Rhinolophus ferrumequinum: one gene and its partners. The protein of the gene in region 1 interacts with the protein of each later gene in a biochemical or structural test. Links are inferred from orthologs where the notes say so. Each region holds a gene or a part of one and is shown in the gene's direction. Other genes may lie near its edges. The genes, in order: MAP3K11, MAP2K7 and MAPK8IP1.

Region 1 (7,918 bases):
TTGTGCCTCAGTTTCCACGTTTAGAAATAAGGACAGTATGACTGCCCTGCCCCACTGATGGCCCAGGATGATGTCCGTGGATGCTGCGAGTCGTCGGGGACAGAGGCTTCCAGTACCAACGGCAGGACCTGGAGAACGGTGCCGGAGATCTCTCTGCCTGTCTCCCCGTTGCTGCAGCCCTGCTTATCTGAGGGGTTTGGCAGATTGTGTCACTCAATCGCTGAGTCCACATCCACCTGCTGCCTGAGACAGAGGCTGGGCTGACCCCGACCAGGTCCACGCGTCTGCCCTTTGCCCAGACCTAAGCCCCGACCTGGCTCACCTCCCTCCCCAACCCTGCAGCTGGCACTTACCTCCCCCTACAGCACCTTCCTCCTGCAGCTCCCCCCGCCAGCCAGGCTGGTTGGCAGCAGGTCCCCTGCGGGCCTCGGCAGGCAGCACAGCAGGTTCACCGGCAGCTAGCTCCACCCCTGCCTGGGCCTCCAGCTCAGCCTTGGAGCCAGCCAGGGGGGCCCTTAGGACATCACCCCCCGCTCCGTCCATGCTCAGCACACGGGCATGTGTTTTGGCGCTGGCAGTACTAGGCGTCCGCTGGGTCCCATAGGGCCGTTTGGGGGGCACAGCAGTCCCCTCCTCAGCCCCATGGGGGGCCCGTCGCTTCCGAGGCCCCCCTGCTGCGCCCCGGGAGCTCTCGGGGGAGTAGCAGGAGGTAGAAGAGGAGCTGTCGGTACTGTAGCGGCGCTGAGATCGGAGACTGGAGGCCGGGCTCAGTTCACTGCCCTCACTGGTGTCTTCATCCTCAAAGAAGCCCCCGCCTTCCAGCAGGGGCCGCCGAGGGGCACGGCCGGGTGGGGAGTGTCTTCGCACGGGCGGCCGCCGTTTGCTAGGCCGGAGCAGGGCCAAGTCCTTGGGCCGCACAACCAGGAGCGGCTCAGCTGGACCTGGCGGTGTCCCTGCTCCTATGACTGTGTCAAAGGAACGCAGTGTGTCATCTGAGGGGACTCCAGCATCTGGTGAGGCGGGCAGCTCAGCCTCCGAGGGTGGGTCTGTGTCGCTGCCCTCAGGGGCTTGCCCACCAGGGGGGCTGTCCAGGTGGGTCGAGTTGGTCTTCTCACTCTTAAAGCTGCTCAGCGTCTCCCTGTCAGTGCCACTGAAGCAGGAATCTGAGGAGCCGGCTTTCTGCGGCGTGGGCTCTCCTGAGCCCCGCCGGTCCAGGGGCTGGTAGCCACCTACTCCCCGGCATTGTTCCCGCCGACTGCTGGTCCTCACCAGGGCCCGGTCAGGCCGGGTCAGGGTCAGGAAGCTCTTGCTCAGCTCCTGGCTGAGGCTCCCCTTCAGCAGGGGGCTCATGGGAGTGTCAGCCACACTGCTCCCACTCCAGGGGGCTCCATCTCCAGCCAGGGGAGAACGTTCCGAAGAGTCCGTGCTGGGAAGAGAGGGGTCCGGGGCAGCCCCCGGGGGCGTCTGGGGAAGGTCTCCAACTGTCAGAAGAAAGGAACGCAGAAAGTGAGTGAAGAGCACACTGAGAAAGGAACTGGTAGCTAAGGGGTCTTATGGCCTCTGCCTTCTCTGAGAGCCCAGCTGGGGTAGGACCCTGAGGAGGACCCATCCAGGAGAACAAAGAGAGCCCCAGGGTAGCACAATTGGGTGACTCAGAGACAAAACAGCTAGTGTTTCCCCCCAACCCCCCGCCATATCATGCCCACTCACTCAGTTTCTCCTGAGAGCTTAGCTTGAGCATCTCTCGATCGGCTGAGGTCATGATCACATTGTTACTGCCCTGCTCCCGCACCAGCTCCTTGATGTCTGCAACCACGGCCCCAGAGTCAGCAGCAGCACCCCGGGGCAGGTGCGTGCCATCCCGTTCCACACCACTACTTTCTGCCCTGAGCAGCAGCGACCTACCTCGGAGGGGCCCAGAGTCTTCCATCCGGGGCAGCAACTCCTGGGCAGACAGAGACAGGTGTAAAGGAGCAAACAGGACAGGAAGTAGCCTCAGGACATACCCGTGGTGGGCATGGGCTCTCAGGAGAAGAGTGGGAGAGGCTAAGGGCCAGGACCACTCACCGAGACCTGGTTGAAGCCAAACACGGAATGCTGGGAGCTACAACGTACTGGGGGTGTGGAACTCACTTTCCGAAACACTGTCATCTCCACTCCGGGATCCCTGGCAGCGGAGAAGAGCTTCAGCATTGCGCTAACCTACCCTCTTTATCTAGTACCTCTGCCATCCCCGTCGCTTCTCTCTCCTCAAAAGTTCCCTTATAATTTCAGGACCGATTATAGAACAAGTGCTGACCCACTCATGAAGCCAATGCTTCCTAAGCCCCTCCTCCATCCTCCAATGCTCAAGCCCAGGCAACGAGAGCCCTCAATCCCCAACAGAGCCCCTACCCCACCCACCTGAGCGCATTGTTGTCCCCCTGGGCAGGCTCTTCCTCTGGCTCCCCCAAGGTAGAGTTGCGCTTCTCCACAATCTCGCCCTCGTCGAACATGGCATGCAGCCGATAGTTCACAGTTTTGATGGTAGCAAAAATGACAGCCACCACAAGGCAGTATACACTGGCCACCATCAAGCTGGGAGGCAGGACCTGGAAGTGGCAGCAAGTCAGGTTCCTCCTCATACAGCTCTGCCCCCATGGAGTGGACCTACCACATCCGTCAGCGCTAGCGTTCACAAATTCACAAGAAGACTTCATCGCCCCTCTGTGAAACTAGCACAGTGACCCGACCAGTAGTTCTGTCTTCTAACTGGAGACAGATATTCCGTGAGATACTCAAGGTCATCCAGCCCAGAAAAGGAAGAATTTGGCTTCTCCCCACACCCTAAATCTGCGGTGGTTCCTCTCTCCACACCCCAGAGCCCAAGGCACAGTCCCGAATCCCTGCCAGGCCACCAATTCTTAGTGCCATCTGCCCTCCCTTTCACTGGCGGGAGTTACAGGTGGTGGCAGCGTCTTACCATGTACAGCAAGAAGGGAAAGGTGAGCAGGAAGATCCAAACGTAGAGGTGGAAGCAGTTGGAGAAGGTACTCTGATGTGGGTCGAAGAACCAACCGCCAGTAAGCGAGGCCCACACCCCCTGGCGCAGGATCTGTAACACCTGCGACCCCATGGCACCGCCGCTGCTGCTGCGCGCGCCCTCCTCCCGGGACCCTCATGGGGGCGGCCCCCGGCCCATGCCCCGCCTGGCGCCTGAGGGCCCCGGGGCCCGGCCTAGCGCTCACGCCATGGCCTCCCCCAGCGGGGGAGAGGGGTCCGAGGGGCGAGGGTACGGGCAGGGGGCGGGGTCGGCCAGGGCAGTCAGCGGGGCGAGGCCTGGGCGCGGCTACGGAGCCGCATCAGGGGCGGGGTCCGGGCCCCCACCCCTGGCCCAGAACCGCTCCGAGGGGCCGAGCCGGCAGGCAGGCGCGGGGCACGGGCCAGGCACCCGACGGCGGCATCCAGAGGTGGGCGTGGGGTGGGTAGCCCGGAGGTGTAGGCGACAGCTTCCCGGCTCCGGCCTGGGGAGAACCCCAGGACCCTGAGGTCCACTTCCGGGGTCACAGGTCACTCGCTCCGGGATCCGCGCTCGCCCCGCTTCTGCGGGAGCCGGCCCAAAGGGGAGGCCGGAAGAAGGAGCCGCGAGCCGCCAGCCTGCAGTGGCGCATGCGCCCGATGGGTTCAGTTGGGACCCGGAAAAGGAAAACCTGACGGCATGAATGCGCAAGCGCATGGAGGCGGTAGAGCGAAAAGAAGCGGGGGAGCTCTTTGGGCGTGCGCAGAGTCCAGGTCGAAGGGAAGAGACGATCTAAGCGGTGGAAGCGCTTGAGCGCACGCGCACACCTAGGCGTTGCCAATTTAGCGAAAACCACTGGGCGGAACCAAAGGGATAGTTGAGTGGCCATTGGGTAATGCAGCGGAGTTAATTGGCGGAAAGCTCTCCCAATGAGTTACGAAGGTGGGGAAAAGGATGGAGGCGTGAACTCCCCAGGACCACAGAGAGAGTTCATCGCCACCGGAGCACGCCCCTACGGGTGCGCCCCTTTTAGTGTTGGACCTCAAACGTCACGAGCGTCTGTCACCCGGAGCGGCCTCTACTTCCGGGTCAGAGCTCAGATTTGGAGTGCAGAGAGCGACCCTCCCGAACAGGCGGGAATAGTCGAAATAGGATAGCGTCGTTTTTCTTAAAGTGACAGGTTCAAAGCAAGTGGGGTCAACCCAGCGGTTGTGAGGGAGACTTAGCTATTCTGAAATCCAATCACTGGACAACAGTCTCAGGTTTCCGCCCACTGGGGAAGGGGCATGAAGAAGTGGACTGTTTCCCAGGTGAGGGGAAAAGGAGAACCTTAGACAACCCGTTGCAAGAGTTTGAGGTGCAGCGAGTTCCATCCTCCTCCAATCTCCCGCACCCTCATCCCACTAGCTCTGCAAAGCAGAGCTTCTGGTCCCCATTTCAGATATGAAGAGAATGAGGCGCAGAGAGGATGGGTCACACAGCTCTGCAACTTCGAAACCAAGACCAGACTCGGGGTTGCTCCACTCCTAAGACAAGTTTTTCACCCAGTTTTGCCGATGCGGATGCAGAGGGTGGTGGTAGCACGTCCTTAGCAAAGAACAACCTCGACCCTAAGCCCGCTGTGATGGGGGGTCCGGGGTACCCTTCCCCTCATTCTGCCCCTCCTCGCCCGCCTACCAGGGAACTCCCGAGGCTCAGCCGCCTGCAGCCTCTGAGAGGGGAGCGGTGCTACCAGCTCGCGTCATCTGATGCTGTTTCCTGCAGGAGGGAGAAGAGCGGAAAAAAGTGAAACTCCACCCTCCACCTCTGCCTCCCGCCCCCGGGGCCAAAGTACAAAGGGAGGAGGAAGAAGGGAACGGGGGTTGGAGCGGTCGGGCCAAGGGAGCTGGGCCTGGAAGGGGCGGCTCGACCCAACTAAGGACACTTCAGCCAGCCCTGCGCAAAAAGACCCAACCGAAGTCCAGGCGCTGCCCCTCTCTGGCCCCACCTTACATTTGGCGGGTGCTGGAGCCAGGCTCCCAAGACTGATCCGGGACTGAGGCACACCCCGGCCCTTCCGAACTGGCAATGGTGAGACACCGGAGACCTCGGGGTCCCATCCCCCGAGCCTGACCACACTGCCCTGGGTGGCCCTCCTCTAGAAGCTGGAGATGCAGCGGGCCAGGAAGCCACACTCCTGGCTCCCCAGAGAGGCGTGGGTCTGGGGCTGAGGACCAAGGCCCGGATGCCCAGATTCTGGGACTAGGGCTCGCCAGCCAGCAGGGGTGGGGACCAGGGGCACCCAGGGAAGGTCCCCCACACACCCCAACGCCGGCTCCCAGCCATGGAGCCCTTGAAGAACCTCTTCCTCAAGAGCCCACTGGGGTCATGGAACAGCGGTGGCAGTGGGGGCGGCGGGGGCAGCAGCGGAGGCTGGCCAGAGGGGTCCCCGAAAGCAGCGGCTTATGCCAACCCTGTGTGGACAGCCTTGTTTGACTACGAGCCCAATGGGAAAGACGAGCTGGCCCTGCGGAAGGGCGACCGTGTGGAGGTGCTGTCCCGGGATGCAGCTATCTCAGGCGATGAGGGCTGGTGGGCGGGCCAGGTGGGCGGCCAGGTAGGCATCTTTCCATCCAACTATGTGTCTCGGGGCGGCCCGCCCCCCTGCGAGGTGGCCAGCTTCCAGGAGCTGCGGCTGGAAGAGGTGATAGGCATTGGTGGCTTCGGCAAGGTCTACCGAGGAAGTTGGCGAGGTGAGCTGGTGGCCGTAAAGGCAGCTCGACAGGACCCCGATGAGGACATCAGCGTGACAGCTGAGAGCGTGCGCCAGGAAGCCCGGCTTTTCGCCATGCTGGCACACCCCAACATCATCGCCCTCAAGGCCGTGTGCCTGGAGGAGCCCAATCTGTGCCTCGTGATGGAGTATGCAGCTGGTGGGCCCCTCAGCCGTGCCCTGGCTGGGCGGCGTGTGCCCCCCCACGTGCTGGTCAACTGGGCTGTGCAAATTGCCCGTGGGATGCATTACCTGCACTGTGAGGCCCTGGTGCCCGTCATCCACAGAGACCTCAAGTCCAACAACAGTGAGTTGAGGGGAGCATGGTTGGAGGGTGGCATGGCCCAAGCACACACATATTGCCTACTCTCAGCTGAGCCTACCTGGGGATCTACTAGAGGCCGGAGCTCTTGCCCCGGGGGAGTCCCAATTGACTGGGATCCCCACTGTCCCCAAAGCAGAAGTCCCAGACACCAAACAGAGTCCTTCATGCCCCAGCCCCAGAAGAAGTCCTTGGCCCCAGCTCACAGATGCCAAGTTAAAAAATTGGGATCTCTCCGGTGGGCCATAAGTACCCTGCCTAACCATGACTACCACCTTAAGGAAGCAGAGCGCTGGATGCTGGCACTCCTCATCTTCCCCTCCCTTAAAGTTCGCACTTGTGCTGTTGATTCTCTGCACTCCCCTCCACTTGTGATGGGCCGCTCCTCCAGAACAGACTTCTCCAAAGGGAAAGTCCCCCACCATGGTGGTTGTGGTGGTCCAGGCTGGGGCCTGGGCTGGAATTTTGGCCCCACCTCTCCCCTGGGTGGTTATTTCAATTCAGAGCCTCGGTTTCAGACTCTGTATAAAGAGAGTAACAGGGGAGGGGGGTGGGAATGGCTTAATGGACCAGGCAAGCCCTGGTGTATGATGGTAACACACAGTGGGTCCTCAAGCGTGGGTGTGGACATTTGAGGGTTAGATCACCAAAAGGGCCTCACCTGGAATCAGCATTTGGGGTGGGCATGGTGGAGCTATGGCAGACTCAAGCAAGGAGGCACTCCATCTCTAACCATTTCAGGCCTCACACAGTGCTCAGCATGGGCCCAAGACAAGGAGTGACAGTTTCAGAGGCCTTCCAAAAACAGGCAGGCTTCCCACCAGGCCAAAAGCAGTGAGCGTTCAGAGAGGCACCCAGTTGGATAGCCAGGCAGGGCCTGACAAGAGCAAAGGCCAAGAGGCAGGACCCACCACAGTAGTGGGGATACGGGCTTTCTGGGGCCCTGGATGCGGTCTATAGAGCAAAAGGAAGTCCAGGAGGGGCCAGTGGAGTTACTGGAGAGGACTGGGCAGCTCTTGGAAGGGGAGCATGGATATTTTGAGCCTCCTGGCCTGGGCTGACCATGGACAAGGGATCTAGGCGGAGCAGAACACCAGAACCCAGTGATGTCCAAGTCCTTGCCAGGACTGGAGGGGCCGGGGGATGTCTGCCAACCACCCCACCCACTATCATAGGGGGCAGTTTCCACCTCTCAGCCTCATTTCTGGGTTCTAGCCATCTAGGGACCCCCATTCCCTGCCTCAGCCTGAGGGGGATTCCCCGAAGGCCCCAGGGGGAGGGGACTCCGTCTTCTGTTTTTCCTCCAGTTTTCTTTCCAGAAAAAATGGAACAATAGCCCAGGCCCCTGCTCCCCACCCTCCCCACCGCTTCCTGCGTTTCCTGCTGCCCCTGAGCCGGCTTCCTGCCCCTGCTCCAGCCTCTGCTCCCTCCCCAACCCAGCTGCCTGCAGGGGAGGAAAGAGCTGGGGGTGGGGGGTGTTTGTGGGAGAGGAAGGAGCCAGGGATTGCGCCCCTACTCTCCTCCAGTTCCCCTGCTTCCCTCCCAGAGTCTGGGTGGTGGTGAAGGGCAGGGAGGGTGCCCTCAGCCTTCCTGAGCCTGGCCTCCCACCTTGTAGGCCCAAGTTCTAGGCCTGGGGTGCTGTCTGCGGCATTGGGGGGGATGTCCCTGGACTGGGGGGGCGCAGGCAGGAAACAATGGCATGATTTTCCTGGACAATGGGGGCCTTGTGAGGAAGCCTGACAGGGAGAGGAGGGGGAATTCTCCAGGCCCACGAGTCACAGGACTGACCAGCCAGCCCGGCCTGGGCCTGACCTCCCCCAATTCTCCCCCAAAGGACCCCCCCAGT
Region 2 (7,119 bases), on another chromosome or scaffold:
CCCTTTCCGAGGTCTCCGGGGAGAACCGTAAGGGCCATGCTGCTGGACGAGCAACAGCAACCATGGAAGCCCAGGCAGGGCCAGGGAAGGCAGGGGAGGGTGAGAAGGAAAAGGTGCTGGCAGAGCCTGAGAAGGTGGTGACTGAGCCACCAGCCGTCACTCTGTTGGACAAGAAGGAGGGCGAGCAGGCCAAAGCCCTGTTTGAGAAGGTCAAGAAGTTCCGTGTGCATGTGGAAGAGGGGGACATTTTATACACCATGTACATCCGGCAGATGGTGCTCAAAGTCTGCAAGTTCGTTGCCATCCTGGTCTACAACCTCATCTATGTGGAGAAGATCAGCTTCGTGGTGACCTGCACGGTGGAGACCTCCAGGTTCACGGGCTATGCCAGCTTCTGCTGCAACCACACCAAGGCCCACCTCTTCTCCAAGCTGGCTTTCTGCTACATCTCATTCGTGTGTGTATACGGGGTCACCTGCCTCTATACGCTCTACTGGCTTTTCCACCGGCCCCTCAAGGAGTACTCCTTCCGTTCCGTGCGGGAGGAGACTGGCATGGGTGACATCCCCGATGTCAAGAACGACTTTGCCTTCATGCTGCACCTCATCGACCAGTACGACCCGCTCTACTCCAAGCGCTTTGCCGTCTTCCTCTCTGAGGTCAGCGAGAGCCGTCTGAAGCAGCTCAACCTCAACCACGAGTGGACGCCCGAGAAGCTTCGGCAGAAGCTGCAGCGCAACGCCAAGGGCCGGCTGGAGCTGGCCCTCTGCATGCTTCCAGGACTGCCTGACACCGTCTTCGAGCTCAGCGAGGTGGAGGCGCTCCGGCTGGAGGCCATCAGTGATATCACATTCCCTCCGGGCCTGTCGCAGCTGGTGCACCTGCAGGAGCTCAGCCTGCTCCACTCACCCGCCAGGCTGCCCTTCTCCTCACAGATCTTCCTGCGGGACCGCTTGAAGGTCATCCGTGTCAAGTGCGAGGAGCTCCGTGAGGTGCCCCTCTGGGTGTTCGGACTGCGTGGCCTGGAGGAGCTGCACCTTGAGGGGCTCTTTCCTCCAGAGCTGGCTCGGGCGGCCACTCTCGAGAGCCTCCGTGAGCTGAAGCAGCTCAAGGTGCTGTCTCTGCGGAGCAATGCTGGCAAGGTCCCAGCCAGTGTGACCGACGTGGCCGGCCACCTGCAGCGTCTTAGCCTGCACAATGACGGGGCCCGCCTGCTGGCACTGAACAGCCTCAAGAAGCTGGCGGTGCTGCGGGAGCTGGAGCTGGTGGCCTGTGGGCTGGAGCGCATCCCTCACGCTGTCTTCAGCCTGGGTGCGCTGCAGGAACTTGACCTCAAGGACAACCACCTGCGGTCCATTGAGGAGATCCTCAGCTTCCAGCACTGTCGCAAGCTGGTCACGCTCAGGCTATGGCACAACCAGATTGCCTATGTCCCCGAGCACGTGCGTAAGCTCCGGGTCCTCGAGCAGCTCTACCTCAGCCACAACAAGCTGGAGACCCTGCCCACCCAGCTGGGCATGTGCTCTGGCCTCCGCCTGTTGGATGTCTCCCACAACGGGCTGCACTCCCTGCCACCGGAGCTGGGTCTCCTTCAGAACCTGCAGCACCTGGCTCTCTCCTACAATGCTCTGGAGGACCTGCCCGACGAGCTCTTCTTCTGTGGCAAGCTGCGGACGTTGCTCCTGGGCTATAACCACCTGAGATATCTGTCACCTCAGGTGGGGGCCCTCAGTGCCCTCAGCCGCCTGGAGCTCAATGGCAACCGGTTGGAGATACTGCCGGAAGAACTGGGCAACTGTAGGGGGCTCAAGAAGGCGGGCCTCCTGGTGGAGGACACTCTTTATGAAGGCTTGCCAGCAGAGGTTCGGGAGAAGATGGAAGAGGAGTAAAGCCAGGGAGGGGCATGTTGCGGTAGAGGCCTTCTGGGTATTTCTGTCCCCAAATCTACCAATGTCTTCAAGGGAGGTGGCCAGGTGGGCCCAGGCCAGGAGAGGAGCAGACATGTCAGTCTGTGGGGCCCAGGCAAGATCCTGGGACTGGTTTGTCTGGGGAGACGGGAGTCTGTGGATTTGGGGTAGAATGTCATGGAGGGATTAACTAAGTCATGGAATTCACAGACCAAAACCACACCTGTCTTTGGCTGGCTGGCCTGCCCCCAGCCCTGGGCCAGACTGCTGCCCTTCCCCTGGACATTCTAGTTCAATCAGTACAACAAAAGGGGTGAAGACACATCCCAGTAAAATTTCAATCCTTCCCTGCCCCAAGGAGGGGATACAGACACAAGGGGCCAGTGCACACTGCCCTCACTTGGATGTTAATCCCTTATTTATAAGTTGATTCCCATGGACACGTGAACTCAGAAACATGGGCCTCTTAGTTGGCTATGCATCAAAATCAACATTTCCAAAACAAACACCCCAGGCCCCACCCCTGAAAGACTGACTCAGAAGCTTTGGCTGGAGGCCAGGAATTTGCCTGTAAATAAACATTCCAGCTCATTCTGACGAAGGTGGTCCTAGGCCTGTATGTTGGGAGATATCTGGATATATATAGCAGGGATTCTGAACCCTTTTTAGGTCCCTAGGCCCTTCGAGAATCTGATGAAAGCTGGGCACCTCCTTCTTCAGGAAAATGCTCGTGTACACATTCATGCACAATTCTGCCTACAACTTCAGGTCGTCAACAGATTCCCCCAGCTCCCCCAGAGGGCTACTGACGGATGTCCTAAGGCCGGCAGACACCAAGTTAAGAACACCGGCTGTGGAGGGTACACTGCTCTGAGGACAGGCAGGGACTTTGTCTCTGGAATGTTCCCTGTGTGAGGAAGCATGTGTCAGTGGGTGCTTAATAAACAGTCCTAATGATGAGAACCATCATTCCGATCTCGTGTCCACGCCTGTCACTAAGCTTTCCGTTTCACCAGACCACTTCCAGGCAAGTGGTGACATGTGCCACAGTCAAGGGTATGAGTCTCTGTCCTGGGTCAGAGGCGGAGAAGGGGGTAAGGAGGCGCCCTCGGCTAATCAGGAAAAATGAGGTGGCGTCTTCTGCCTAGGTTTTCCCTGGGGAACCCCTTTTCTTCTACTTTCCGTGTTATCCTCCTGATTCCATACTTTTGTATCTGCTCCCCCCATAAGTCTTCATCAGAGGGATCCCCTCGGCTGGACCAGGAGTGGGCAGGGCACTAGGCACAGCCTGCCTGAACCTGACCTGGGCCTGGCCCCCTCCAAGGTATCTGCAGGATGCAATCTTCCGCCTGGCACCCAAGAGCAGAGGCAAGCTGCTCTCCATGGACCCAGGATTCCAGATGGGGACATTTCCCCAGCACCCTTCAGACCAAAGGAATATTTAGGCTACAGGGACACCAGGCAGAGCCGCCGAACCCCAGGGCCAGTCTTTTGCATTGTCCAGGAGCTGGGTTCACATTCTGGGGGCAGGGCAGACAGGGAAAGCCTGACACTGTCCCACGCCAGTCTGACCTGGAACTCTCCAGCACTGACGTTGGTCCCGGTCGCCGAGGTCAGAGGTCATGCCGGTGGACAGTAGCTCTAGACCTACCCCGCCTCTCTCACTTGTCCTTGGCTAACCCTGAGCTTGCTGAAATGGCAAGGGTGCCTAATTACGGTGAGGAGGCAACAATTAAGCATAACAGAGATCCTAATGGACCATGTCCCAGGCGAGAAAGGCAGTTCTGAGAGGGCGTGGGTGCCAAAAAAGGGCCAGTCAGGAAGAGCAAAAAGAAGGCTGAGGCGACCAACCTCCCCAAGTCCCCAAGCACGAGCCGCCGGGCATGCGCGTGCGCAGCAGACGCCACGCGCGAGACCTCCTCTCCTCTAAGCGTGCCCGCCTTTCCCCGCCCACCGCTCTCTGCAGAACGGTGATTGTAGTTTCCACACAGCGCCGTTCACCACTGAGTTCGGGAAACTCGCGCGTGCGCATCACGGCGGAGACGTTGCACGTTGCCAGCCACTAACTCTAGGTGGTGTCATCCCTCGGGCTGGGACGAGGGACGCACGCGCGGGGGTTCGCACGAGGGAAGGGCGGGTGCGCAACACGGGCATGCGCGGTGCGGGGCGAAACGGCGGCTCGGCGGGGTCATCCGGGCGCAGGCGCAGTGCGGTGTTTGTCTGCCGGGCTGACGGTCGGCCGGGCGGTGCGCGGCGGCGGCGGCGGCGGCGGCGGGGAAGATGGCGGCGTCCTCCCTGGAGCAGAAGCTGTCCCGCCTGGAAGCAAAGCTGAAGCAAGAGAACCGCGAGGCCCGGCGGAGGATCGACCTCAACCTGGATATCAGCCCCCAGCGGCCCAGGCCCAGTAAGCACGGCGGCATGGGGGAGGGGGCGGGTGGGGCGGGGCGCTCGCCGCGGGAAGCCCCGCCCCCGCCGCCAGGCCCCGCCCCCGCTTCCGGGACGCTCTTGCTTCTCCGGTCCGTTCCCCCCTCCCCGCTGTCGTCTCGCGGCGCGAGGGTCACGGCAACCCGGGGGGCGGGGTGCTGGCAAGCTCCCGGGCGGCTCTCACCCGGCCTGGGTGATTCCCCCTGACGGAGCCTGGGAACCTAGTTACCTGGCTCCAGGCGAGGACCCCACCTGATGACCCGCCCCCATCATCGTGATCCTCGGAGTCTCTGTCACCTATTGTGAGCCGTGCTCCCCCTACCCAATCCAATCGGCCGTGACCAAATCCACGTCCTCCGCAAGCACATACACATCCCTTTTGACCAGATGGTTCCGCTCCCGTTATCTCGGTGACTGTGTCAAGAGGCCCCTACCTACCCCCACTCCACGCCTGGGTCCTTGTCATCCGGGTTCAAGGGATGGTTCACTCACACTTGTCCGGGGGACACCTCAGGTCACTTGAGCACACGTAACCCCCCTTATCCCTCTGACCAAGACGATTCTCCCACTCCTTGTGACTGTGTCTGGTGATCCCTTCTCCGTCGTGGGCTCTTGTCTTTGAGCCCAGCAGCCCCCCTCCCGCACACATTCTACTCACATACATGTACCAGGTCCCCTTCACTCCCTGATCAGTTTCACTGCCACCATCTTGGTGAATGTGTCTGGCCCCTCAAAAACACACACTCAGCCCCCAACCTGGAGACTTTGTCGTTTGGGCTCAAGTGACTTCCTTTTCCCCACATACCCCTACCCACCCAGCCTGGGGACACCTGAGGCCCATATGGTGGTATCTAGCATCCCAGCACACATACGCCTCCCCTCTAATTCCACCATCTCAGCACCTACCTTCCTGTCATCTTGTCATCTGGAATCAAGAGCTGTCCCCCCTGGGATCACCATGACCACATGTAGGATCCTTGTTATGTCCCATAGAACCCAACTCCTCTCAGCTGGAGGGCATCAGATTTCCCGCTGCCCACAGACTTGAAGAACAGCACCCCCATGACACTTACGTAGCTCCTGTGGGGTCATCCTGACAGGAGGGGAAGACATCCCTGTATCTGGGTACTCCCCAACCACCCCCTACTCACCTGGCCTGACCTTCACAGCCTTTCCTCGCCCCCGCCGCCGTCTTGTGTGTAGGGTCCACTCCCCATCTCTCTTCTGACGTGGGTCAGTGTGGGTGCCTCACTGAGGGGTCTTTTGGGGGCCCAGAGAAAGCCCCAAGGCGGTAATGCTGGCGTTGGACACTCCCTGGGGTAGGAACCCAGCCAGGACTGGAGGGTTTCTACTAAGCTCCAGGATGGACAAGACAGCGCTGGGTACGGGGCGTCGGGTGCCTACAGGGGTGGCTGTCCCAGGTGCAGAGCAAGGCACGGCAAGACCCAAGGCGGGCAGGCCCCCGAGGAGCCCCCTGCAGGCATCTGTGTGTGTCAGCGTCAGCTCCATCCCCTCCTGCCGGTCCTCCCATCTGTCGGTTTCCACCCATCTCTGCAGTTTGGTGCCTCGTGCCTCCCCCCTCCTCCTCGTTATGATTTGATTTCTTTTCTTTTGGACAAATCGGTTGTTTCTGTTGTGATTTATCGTGGTGTTGTTTTTTTTCTTCCTTTTCCCCATCCAGTTATTGTGATCACTCTAAGCCCTGCTCCTGCCCCGTCCCAACGAGCAGGTACCAGCCTTTTTATCATCGCCGCTTGGACATCTGCACCGTTGACCTAACCGCTGCCCTAGCCGCAGAATGCCATCCCCCTCCCCCCGTGCTCTGTGTGTGTGAGCGCCCCTGCGTGCGTGCGCATCTCCTCACTCACTGTCCCTCTCACTCCCTCACTTTCTCTTTCCCTACGGTCAACATCAGGCCCACCTGGCCTCTTCCTGTGTCCTCTCTCCTCTCTGTCTCTTGGGTGCAGGTTTGGACCCCCTGGTGGAGGACCTGGGCTCCCTCATTGACTGGGAGTCTGTCACCTGTGAGGGGGTCATGCATGTGCGTGTGTGTGCGTGCGTGAGTGTGTAGAAGTAAGAGGGAGAGAAAGGGGGGCCAGCATGTTGGCTGTGCCTGTTTATCCATTTCAGTAATTCAGGGGACACGTCTTGGCCCCTGGGTGCTGTACCTGTTTTAGGCTCGGGATACAGCAGTGAACAGAACCGACCAAGTCCCGCTGTGCAGCTGATGCCCCACTAGGAGTTGAAGGGGTGAGAATAGTGAGCGCCTCCTGACTGGGGAGAACTGGAGAAGGCGACAAGTACTGGGGAAAGCAGAGGAGAGCAGGCTTGGGGGTTCTGTAGGGGGACTGTTGGGGGAAGCCTCTGGAGAAGGTGGGGTTTGAGCAGTGTCTTGTGGGAGGGGCGGGGAGCATGTGCACAGCCCTGCCAAGGCCTGAGTACAGGTGCCAGCGGGTCTGGCTGGAGTGGATGTATGTGGGGTGTGCCCATGCATTGGGTCGGTGGTGTGTGAGAGACCGGGCTGGGGTCTGTCTGGTCCTGTTGGTCCTTGTGTGTAAGTGGGATATTAGGCAGTTGAATGTGTGTAAGTGTGTGTGTGTGTGTGTGTGTGTGTGTGTGTAAGATGGTGTTGGGGGCTCCGTGGTCTATTATCTGCCCATCTGCATGTGTATGGGGGTTAGTGCCATGCCTGTGTGTGTGTGTGTGTGTGTGTGTGTGTGTGCGCACACCCCTGCTGACTGACAGCCTGGTACAGCTGTGGCTCCTGACAGCCCCCATGTCCTCTTGT
Region 3 (7,589 bases), about 8.9 Mb from region 1:
GCCTGGATGCCCCAACAGCCACCACGGCAGCAGAGTACAACCTGCAGGAAAGCTGATCACCGATGGAGATGGAGCGAACGTGTGCGCGCGTGTGTGCAGAGGAAGGAGTGGTGTGCCTATTAGGGTGTGCATGCATCTGTTTACACTCTTGTGATTCTGAATGCTGCCTAGGCCGGAGAAGTCCTGTAGCAGCTTCACCTCAGCGTTCAGACACCAGGCTAGAGGTTATGGCCCAGGCTAAAGGTGGTAGGGCCCTCGCTGGGATTCTGGCATCTGCCCCTCCCCCAGCCCTCCCTGCCTCCCTCTTATCAGACGGAGGAGCAGGAGGGCAGCATTTCTGGCTCCTGTCCAGAGGATTCTAAAGGCAGCCAGAGCCCTTCTGAGTTCCTCCTGACCCTGGAGGCTGAGCAGGCTGGAGTGGACGGATGCTATCCAGACACAGTCACCTGGCCTGGCTTCTTTCCTATTTAAAAATTCCCTGCCATTGGGTCGACCAGACCCTTCCTTAGGCATCTGGATCAGAACATGAGGCTGTGGACAGATCTGAGAACTTTCCACCACGTACGGAAGTACACCAGTACCTGTATACACGGTACTGTAGAAGATAGCTTAGGAAGTACAGCCACCTTTTCGGGCTTAAAACCTAAGGTTGGGAATAAAATCCCAGTTCCTACTGTTCATTCCGCAGAATCTGAGGGCCAGCCTCAGAGCTGACTGTGGCAACCCAGTGCCTCCACCAGCAGGAGGCCAGGTTCCTGGCTCTTCTGGCCATACTCCAGGGCACCACAGTGCTGCCATTGAGGTCAGCTGACAGCCAGCCAGGGAGGCCATTCTAGTCTGTTCTGCAGGTGTCCAGAGCCTGCCCAGGAATGTTCAGCGTCCAAGCTGCCATGTCAGCTCTGCCAGTAGCTAGGCACCGAGGACCCAGGCAGGTGGACTCGTGAGGACTGCCAGGGCCAGTTGGGAAAGGTCCAAGTAAAGAACCCCTCCGCACACCAACCCTTCCAGAAGTAGCAGGTGGGAGGTTTGACCCGGAGAGGTCAAGGCCTTACATTCCAGGAGTGGCCTATGCCTCCCACCTCAACCCTCCCACTGTCAAAGGCCCGTGTTGAGAAAGACATAATGAAAAGGACTGTGTGGTCAGCTGCAGAAGTCTTCCTTCCACTGCGGCCTGCACTTGAGCCACAAAGTGTGTGTGTGTGTGTGTGTGTGTGTGTGTGTGCGCGTGCGTGTGTGCTACATGCGCGCGTAGCTGAGAGGCTACTTCCTCTTTGGAGTTTTGTCCTCACATGGAACATTAAGCTGGCCTCAGGGCCTTCTCCTCTACCTCCCTGTGGCCTTTCCTAGTCTTCTAGCTGTTAACTCCCTTGGCCCCAGCCCTGTCCCCCACTGTCCCCTGTCCTCAGACCGGAACCCTGGGGTCAGGCCCCTGTCTCCATCAGCTGTCCAGCACATTGACAGGCTTCTTCCTGAGAGGTCCTCAGGTGTTCTCAGCCAGAGAGCTGCCTTTAGAGTTTAACCGTTGTATGTTTGTCACCCTCACTAGAAATGTCCCGTAATTATGTGTGGGGAGCAGGGCACAGGTGACGGTGTGTATTCGAAGCATTGGGTTGGGGACTTCCTTGTTCCCTTAGCCCCAGCCAGGAGAAAGAGAATTGGGGACTATTGCCAGAAGGGGAGTAGAGCAAGCCTGGAAGGGCTGGTCTGAGAAACTGAGAAGGCCAGAGGGCTCCGGCCAGCGTCAGTGTTCGTTAGCAGCCCCTTCAGACCAGGATGAGTCCCTTACCCTGCCTATTGAGTGGGGATTCTCTTCCCTAAGGTAAAAGCTGGCCAGACCACCTACCCCTGCTTCACCCTCCCTGGCATGCTGGCCCATTCCCAGTGGAATGGAGCGGTCCACTCCTGGAGTTAGGAGGGGCGGGGTGAGGAGAGGGTGCATCCAGTAGCCCAGAGCTCCACCATGGCTTTGTGCCTCCCCTCCCCTGGCCCAGGGGTCTGGGGGCTGCCATAGAGCATTGCCCCAAATCCTGATCCAAGGGCCAGCATGGGTAAGAGATGGTCACAGGCAAAATGCACTTTATACAGAGATTTTCTATTGCTGGGAAGGTGTGTTTCTCCCACAGTTTGTGAATATTCACTTGTTTCATAAATGTCTGATCCTGGATGAGCAAAGCTGTGCTGTCGTCAGTCTTGTGGGAGGTCTGGGGGGTGGGCATCAGTAAGGGTGAGCCTGAATGAAGCCTTAGGCCGGACCCTCTTGCCTCTGCTGGAACCAGGAGCCTCTTGCCCCTCCTGGAGGTCACGGGGGTGAGCGGGGTGGGGAGAGATGGAGGAAGGGGGAGGCTCCTAGGTGAGCATCCGGAGCTCCCCATCTTTGTCAGAGTTGGAGGTCAATCAGCCAGAATTGTATAGCGCATTCCAGGCACTGGAGGAGGGTCATGAGTGCTATTCGGCAGAGACCCAGCCTGTGGCCCACGTAGACCCCCAGGCTGGGGATCAGTCAGGGGCAGGCCTTCTCCGGGCCTTCCATCCATCCTTTACCTCAACTCAGCCACTTAAGCTGCAGCTGTGGTGCGGAAGGGGTCCAAGCCTTCTGGCTCTGGCTAGGTGGTCCAGATGGGACCACAGCCAAGCCCAGGGCCTGGATGCTGACCTTGTCTCATGCCATCTGGCCAGAGAGTGACCCTTCTCTGCGCACAGTGCGTGGGCTTTCCTGTGAAGGTGTCCAGCCTTAGACCACTGGAAGTTAGAGCCTTGTTAGCCGTACCCCAACTTCCTGTGGGAGGGGGCTCAGGCAAGGCCCAAGAATATCACACTCTGCCCTGCATAGAGTGAGAAAGGGGAAAAGGGAGGAACTTGACCCTGGAACTCGTCTCATTCTTGGCTCTGCTTTGAAGCTCCTGGTGGCCCCTTTCCCACCAAGATCTGGTCCCGCCCTTCCCTTTCTCCTTTCTCCGGGCTGCTCTCTAATGTGGCTTTGGCTTGGCCTTAGGAGAGCTGAGATACCTTTGTTCTTGAGCAAAAGGTCCTGGAGGATGGAGTTGTCCCCCCCACACACACACACCCCTGACCTGAGGACACTCCCTAGTTAAGACAAACACACTCTCCACACTAAGGTACAATTATTAGCCACTATGGCAGGACTGCTTTCCTGGGAATCCAGGCACCATAACAGCAGGTGGTTACTGTTCAGGCGTAGTGAAAGGAGACTGAGCCAAGATAGCAGGGAAGATACAGTGGCCACCCGTCTAGGCAGGGAGAAGAAAGGCAGCCAAGGCCTTTGGCTCTAGGTATTGGGACGTTCTCATGGCTGGGGCTGGGGGTTGTTCACTGCAGACCTGCTACCTGCAGCTCCTTTCCATATGCTACACTGAAGGTAAAGGGGGTGGCTTGACCAGCTGGCAGTCCAGCTTTGCAAATAAGGTTCCATAAGCTGTGAAGCAGTTTGCTCTGCTGCTGCTTCAGAGAGAGGTGAAGGGCAGGACCTGTGTGATTCTCCCAGGTGGCCAGAAAAGCCAGTGATGTTTGGTCAGAGGCTCTATGACCCACCAAAGCTGGGGCCCTAACCTTGACCAGCAGCCTGCATGTCCAGCAGTCCAGGCTTTCAAAGAACTCACAGGCTTAGCCTTCTTAGGGAAGAGAAGGCCAGGAAGAAACCACAGCTGGGGCAGAAGGAAAGGCCCTGTCTTAGAATATGAGAGGCCAGCTCTGGATGTCTGGGTGCACGTTTCCTCTTCAGGAAATGCAGTTGAGGGATAAGTGAGAAGAGGGACAAATCTGGGAAAGTCTTGACATGAAAAAGGAGAAGCTCAGAAACAGAAGCCAAGAGGAAGGGTTCAGTTAACCATTAATAGCTGTTTAGGGCTGAAGCAGGGCTTGAGTCAATCTTTAGAGAGGAGACGCTCTAGGGATAGTCCTTGGAAGGGTCCCCTCAAGGTAATGGGACTGGACGGGGTGAACCTGGATCCCAGCAGGAGATGGAGTGTTCTCAGCGTCCGGTGACAATACATTTGTGATACGTTTCAACCTCACACCAACCATGTGAGGGACCATTATTGTCCCTATTTCACAGGTGAGAAAACCAAACCTTAGGACGGGTACATCATAACGCAAAGCCACACCAACTGACTCCAAACCTGTCAGGCTGGGGTGTCCCACAGATCCCAGTGTCTTTCGAGGAGCCCACTGCCAACCCCCTTTCCCTTTCTATGCCAGCCTCCACGACCTTCCCCTTCCTGTCCGCCTTCTTAGTCTGCTGAGGAGGGCCAACTAAGGGCCCGCCATTAGTTACCTGACACCCAGGTGCTAAGCCCACGCCAACTGGCAGAGCTCGCACGGCCACATGGGGGGGGGGGCTTGGGAGGGCTTTGCGGGAGGGGCGAGGGGAGAGGAGTCAGTGTAAGAGTTAGGGCAGGGCTGGGCCGGACCCAGGGGCGGCAGGGGCCGCGACTTCAGTACCTCGGAGAGCGCCGAGGGGCGGGGCACGCGGGCCCGGGGGCGGGGCGAGGGCGGGGCGCACGAGACCCCTAGGCAGGGCCCGGGGGCGCGCGCGGTGGCGCTCGCGCCAGTCCCGAGAGCGGTGTGCGGTCCGGAGCCGCGCGCTGCCCTGCGCAGGTGCGCCCGCCGCGCCCGCCCAGCAGGATCCCCGCGGCGGCGGCGGCGGAGGCCTCTTGCTACGCCCCCACCTCCTTCCCCTCGGCCGCCTCCGCCGCCTTCGCCGCTGCCTCCGCACCGCGCTCCGCCCGGATGGCCAGGGCTGTGCGCGAGAATGGCGGAGCGAGAGAGCGGCGGCCTGGGCGGGGGGGCCGCGTCCCCGCCTGCCGCCTCCCCGTTCCTGGGGCTGCACATAGCGTCGCCGCCCAATTTCAGGTGAGAATCCCCGGCCGCGGTGCCCCGCCCTTTAGCCGGGACTGATCTGCTCAGGCTCCCTCTCCCCACAGCCTGCAACACACACACACACACACACCACCCCCCCAGACCCCGGGAACGAGGGGACAGCCTGGATGGAGATGGAGTCTCTTCCCTGGACGGAGCCCCCAGAACCTCCCTCAGCTTCAAGTCTAAACTGATAGCCTCTGCATATCCGTGGTGCGGTTCCCTCCGCCATTCCATGACCTAGGCTAGGAGACTCTGAGCTGCAATTGGAGGAGGGCTGCAATCTGGGTTGAGATCCCAAAGGAGGCAGGTAGGCTGGCTTTGCCTGTGCCCAGTCCGAAGGCTTCTGAATAGAAATGGGTGCCAGTTTCTTGGGGCAACGGACAACCTTGGTGCAGGAAGGAGGGAGTCATGGGCCTTGCCTGACCAGAGGGGCCTAACTCCCAGACCTGGATTTGGACAAGTCCTGACCTTGTCAGATGTGTGCAGGTGCAGGAGGTTCAGACTCAACCCAGAGATTCTAGACGTGGCTGTGGGACGGGGTGTCTGGTTTGGACACCCAGAAGTAACCAGGAATATTGGGGGGGGTCCCTGCAGGAGTAGTTCCCAGGACCCTAATCTGAGCTTCCCTTCACCCCTCTCCCTGCCTCCTAGCTGGGGTTAGGCAATTGGGAGGTGAATTTCAGAGAAGTGGACAGTAGGTGTTGTGGGGAAGGGTTGATGTCCCTTCCTCAGAATCCTGGCCCCAGGTGGAAGGAAGAGGAGGTGTAACTGCTCCAGAGCCTTGGAAGAAGTAGGCCTCGATGTACCCCATTGTTTCTCCATCTAATGAGCTGGCGCCCTCCCGTCTCCTGGGGCCCCCACCTCAGCCAGGCCCCAGCTGGTCTCTGGCGCCAGCCCCTCTTCTGACCAAGAGGTTGCTGGTTCCCTGGTCCTCAGGTGGGCAGGGACCTTTGTGGGTCTCTAATGGCATCATCAGGATTAGAAACCTCCCCTGAGGCCCTGAGCTGAGCCCGGAAAACACCAGAAGGAGGGGACCAGATGGAGGAGGTTTGAATGCTGGGGCCTCTGTGGTTAGTGCCTGAGTAAGAAGCCTGAGGTCTGAGAGTGACTCCACTTGGCATCACACACTGCCTCTGTGCAAACACTGCCTTCCTACCAGGAGGACCCTCTGCAGTGGGAGGGCACTGAGCTTAGAAGGACCTGGGTTCAAATCCTAGCTCCACCACTTTCTAGCTGCATGACCTGGGCAGGGTTTTATCTTCTCTGAGTGCCACATGTTAGGTGAGCTAATGAATATTGATTCCTTAATTTATATCACGTCGGTGCTTACCAAGTGTCAGCCCGCCCTCTATGCTAGCAGGCTTGTGTATAGCTCCTCACTGTTCAAAGCATTTCCCAGTGCCGGCTCACCTAGCCCTCATAACCACCCCGGGTGTGGGGATCAGTCTGCCCATTTTGTAGATGAAGACATTGAGATTCAGGGAGGCAGGTGGCTTGCCCAAGGACCCAGAGGAAGTTAGAGCCTGAGGCTGGACTGGAACCTACAGCTACGGTGCGTGTTCAGTCCATTCTACCTCCAGGCCCTGCCCCTGGCCCGGAGGACAGCTTTACCTCCCCTCACCTGGCTCCTGATCCCCAGGTACCAGTGCTCACAGGCAGGCAGGCAGGTTAGCATGGGCGCTTTAGCGAGAGGAGCTGTCAGGGTGGATACCAGCCAGTGAGTGTGTCCAGTCCTGGCCCAGGTGGGCAAGGGTGGCAGCACACCAAGGCTGAGGCGTGGGCCAGCCCTCCGGGACATGGTGGCCTGGCTGTGAAGACAAAGCCCACTCGTGGGAATAATAAGAGCAGTGTCTCCAGCCCTACGTGGCCGCCCCCGCTGCCCTTTCCCTTGTCCAGCCTCTCAGAGCCCTTGGCCCAGTTTGGTTTAACCCTGGGTAGTTACTGCTCTCTTGTGGCTCTTTGGTGGGGTCGTGGATCCAGCTGGCCTGGGTTTGATTCCTGGCTTAGCCTTCTTAGCTGTGTGCCCCAAGACTGGGCACTCGACCCCCGAGCCTCTGTTTCTTCTCCATAATGCCAGCTTTGGCCGCTGTGCAGGACGGTCCTTAGACTTGGATGAGACAACACATGTTGAGTGTTCCAAGAGCTGTGGAGCGCTGCCTTCATGCAGTTGTTGTTATTGTTGTTGTTGTTCTTATTGTTACTGTGTGTGTTACACATGCCCCAGCACCACTGTCAGCTTCTCAAAGGCGTAAGGAGTTAATATCTAAACTTTGGTTTGCCCAATGCCCAGCACAGAGTAGGTGCTCAGTAATGCCTTATTGGTTTACTATTTAATTAAGCTTAAAATTGGGCACCACCCTCCTAGAGTACAGAGAATACAGTGCATTGCCAGAGAGCCCAGTGGTACGCCCTGACACGTGGGAGCGGCTCACTTTGCCCAGACACCATTCTGAGCACTTTCTGTGCAAGAGTTCCTACCAGGACTATATAAACAGAGTATTATTCTTATTGTAAGCCCACTTAGCAGATGAAGAAACGGAGGCATAAAGAGGTTAGATAAGTAGCAGAGCTGGGTTGGAACCCAGGCAGTCTGAGTTCAGAGAGTGCCCTGGAATATTGGGAGAGAGGTGAGGTGGTGGAGGGGGTGAGCACGATGTGGACCTGCAAGGGTGGGGAACGTTTGTTTGTGGATAGTTGGTTTAAATAATATG

What was found.
Region 2: of the proteins of MAP3K11 (region 1) and MAP2K7, one has a biochemical effect on the other in vitro, tested with the Homo sapiens proteins (2 studies listed by BioGRID). The link is inferred for Rhinolophus ferrumequinum from reciprocal best matches to the Homo sapiens genes MAP3K11 and MAP2K7.
Region 3: the proteins of MAP3K11 (region 1) and MAPK8IP1 form a complex in vitro, tested with the Homo sapiens proteins (2 studies listed by BioGRID). The link is inferred for Rhinolophus ferrumequinum from reciprocal best matches to the Homo sapiens genes MAP3K11 and MAPK8IP1.

Annotation. Positions count from the first base shown.
Region 1 is NC_046294.1:6,096,258-6,104,175, forward strand, and holds the start of MAP3K11 (mitogen-activated protein kinase kinase kinase 11), read left to right. Parts: upstream 1-4,846; 5' UTR 4,847-5,321; coding exon 5,322-6,057; intron 6,058-7,918. Other genes in the region: PCNX3 (pecanex-like protein 3), read right to left, coding at 354-1,481, 1,711-1,806, 1,906-1,945, 2,068-2,167, 2,404-2,591, 2,963-3,115. UniProt on the Homo sapiens protein: Activates the JUN N-terminal pathway. Required for serum-stimulated cell proliferation and for mitogen and cytokine activation of MAPK14 (p38), MAPK3 (ERK) and MAPK8 (JNK1) through phosphorylation and activation of MAP2K4/MKK4 and MAP2K7/MKK7.
Region 2 is NC_046301.1:56,873,154-56,880,272, forward strand, and holds the start of MAP2K7 (dual specificity mitogen-activated protein kinase kinase 7), read left to right. Parts: upstream 1-4,113; 5' UTR 4,114-4,187; coding exon 4,188-4,311; intron 4,312-6,012; coding exon 6,013-6,060; intron 6,061-7,119. Other genes in the region: volume-regulated anion channel subunit LRRC8E, read left to right, coding at 1-1,889. UniProt on the Homo sapiens protein: Dual specificity protein kinase which acts as an essential component of the MAP kinase signal transduction pathway. Essential component of the stress-activated protein kinase/c-Jun N-terminal kinase (SAP/JNK) signaling pathway.
Region 3 is NC_046294.1:14,967,537-14,975,125, reverse strand, and holds the start of MAPK8IP1 (C-Jun-amino-terminal kinase-interacting protein 1), read left to right. Parts: upstream 1-4,571; 5' UTR 4,572-4,768; coding exon 4,769-4,869; intron 4,870-7,589. UniProt on the Homo sapiens protein: The JNK-interacting protein (JIP) group of scaffold proteins selectively mediates JNK signaling by aggregating specific components of the MAPK cascade to form a functional JNK signaling module. Required for JNK activation in response to excitotoxic stress.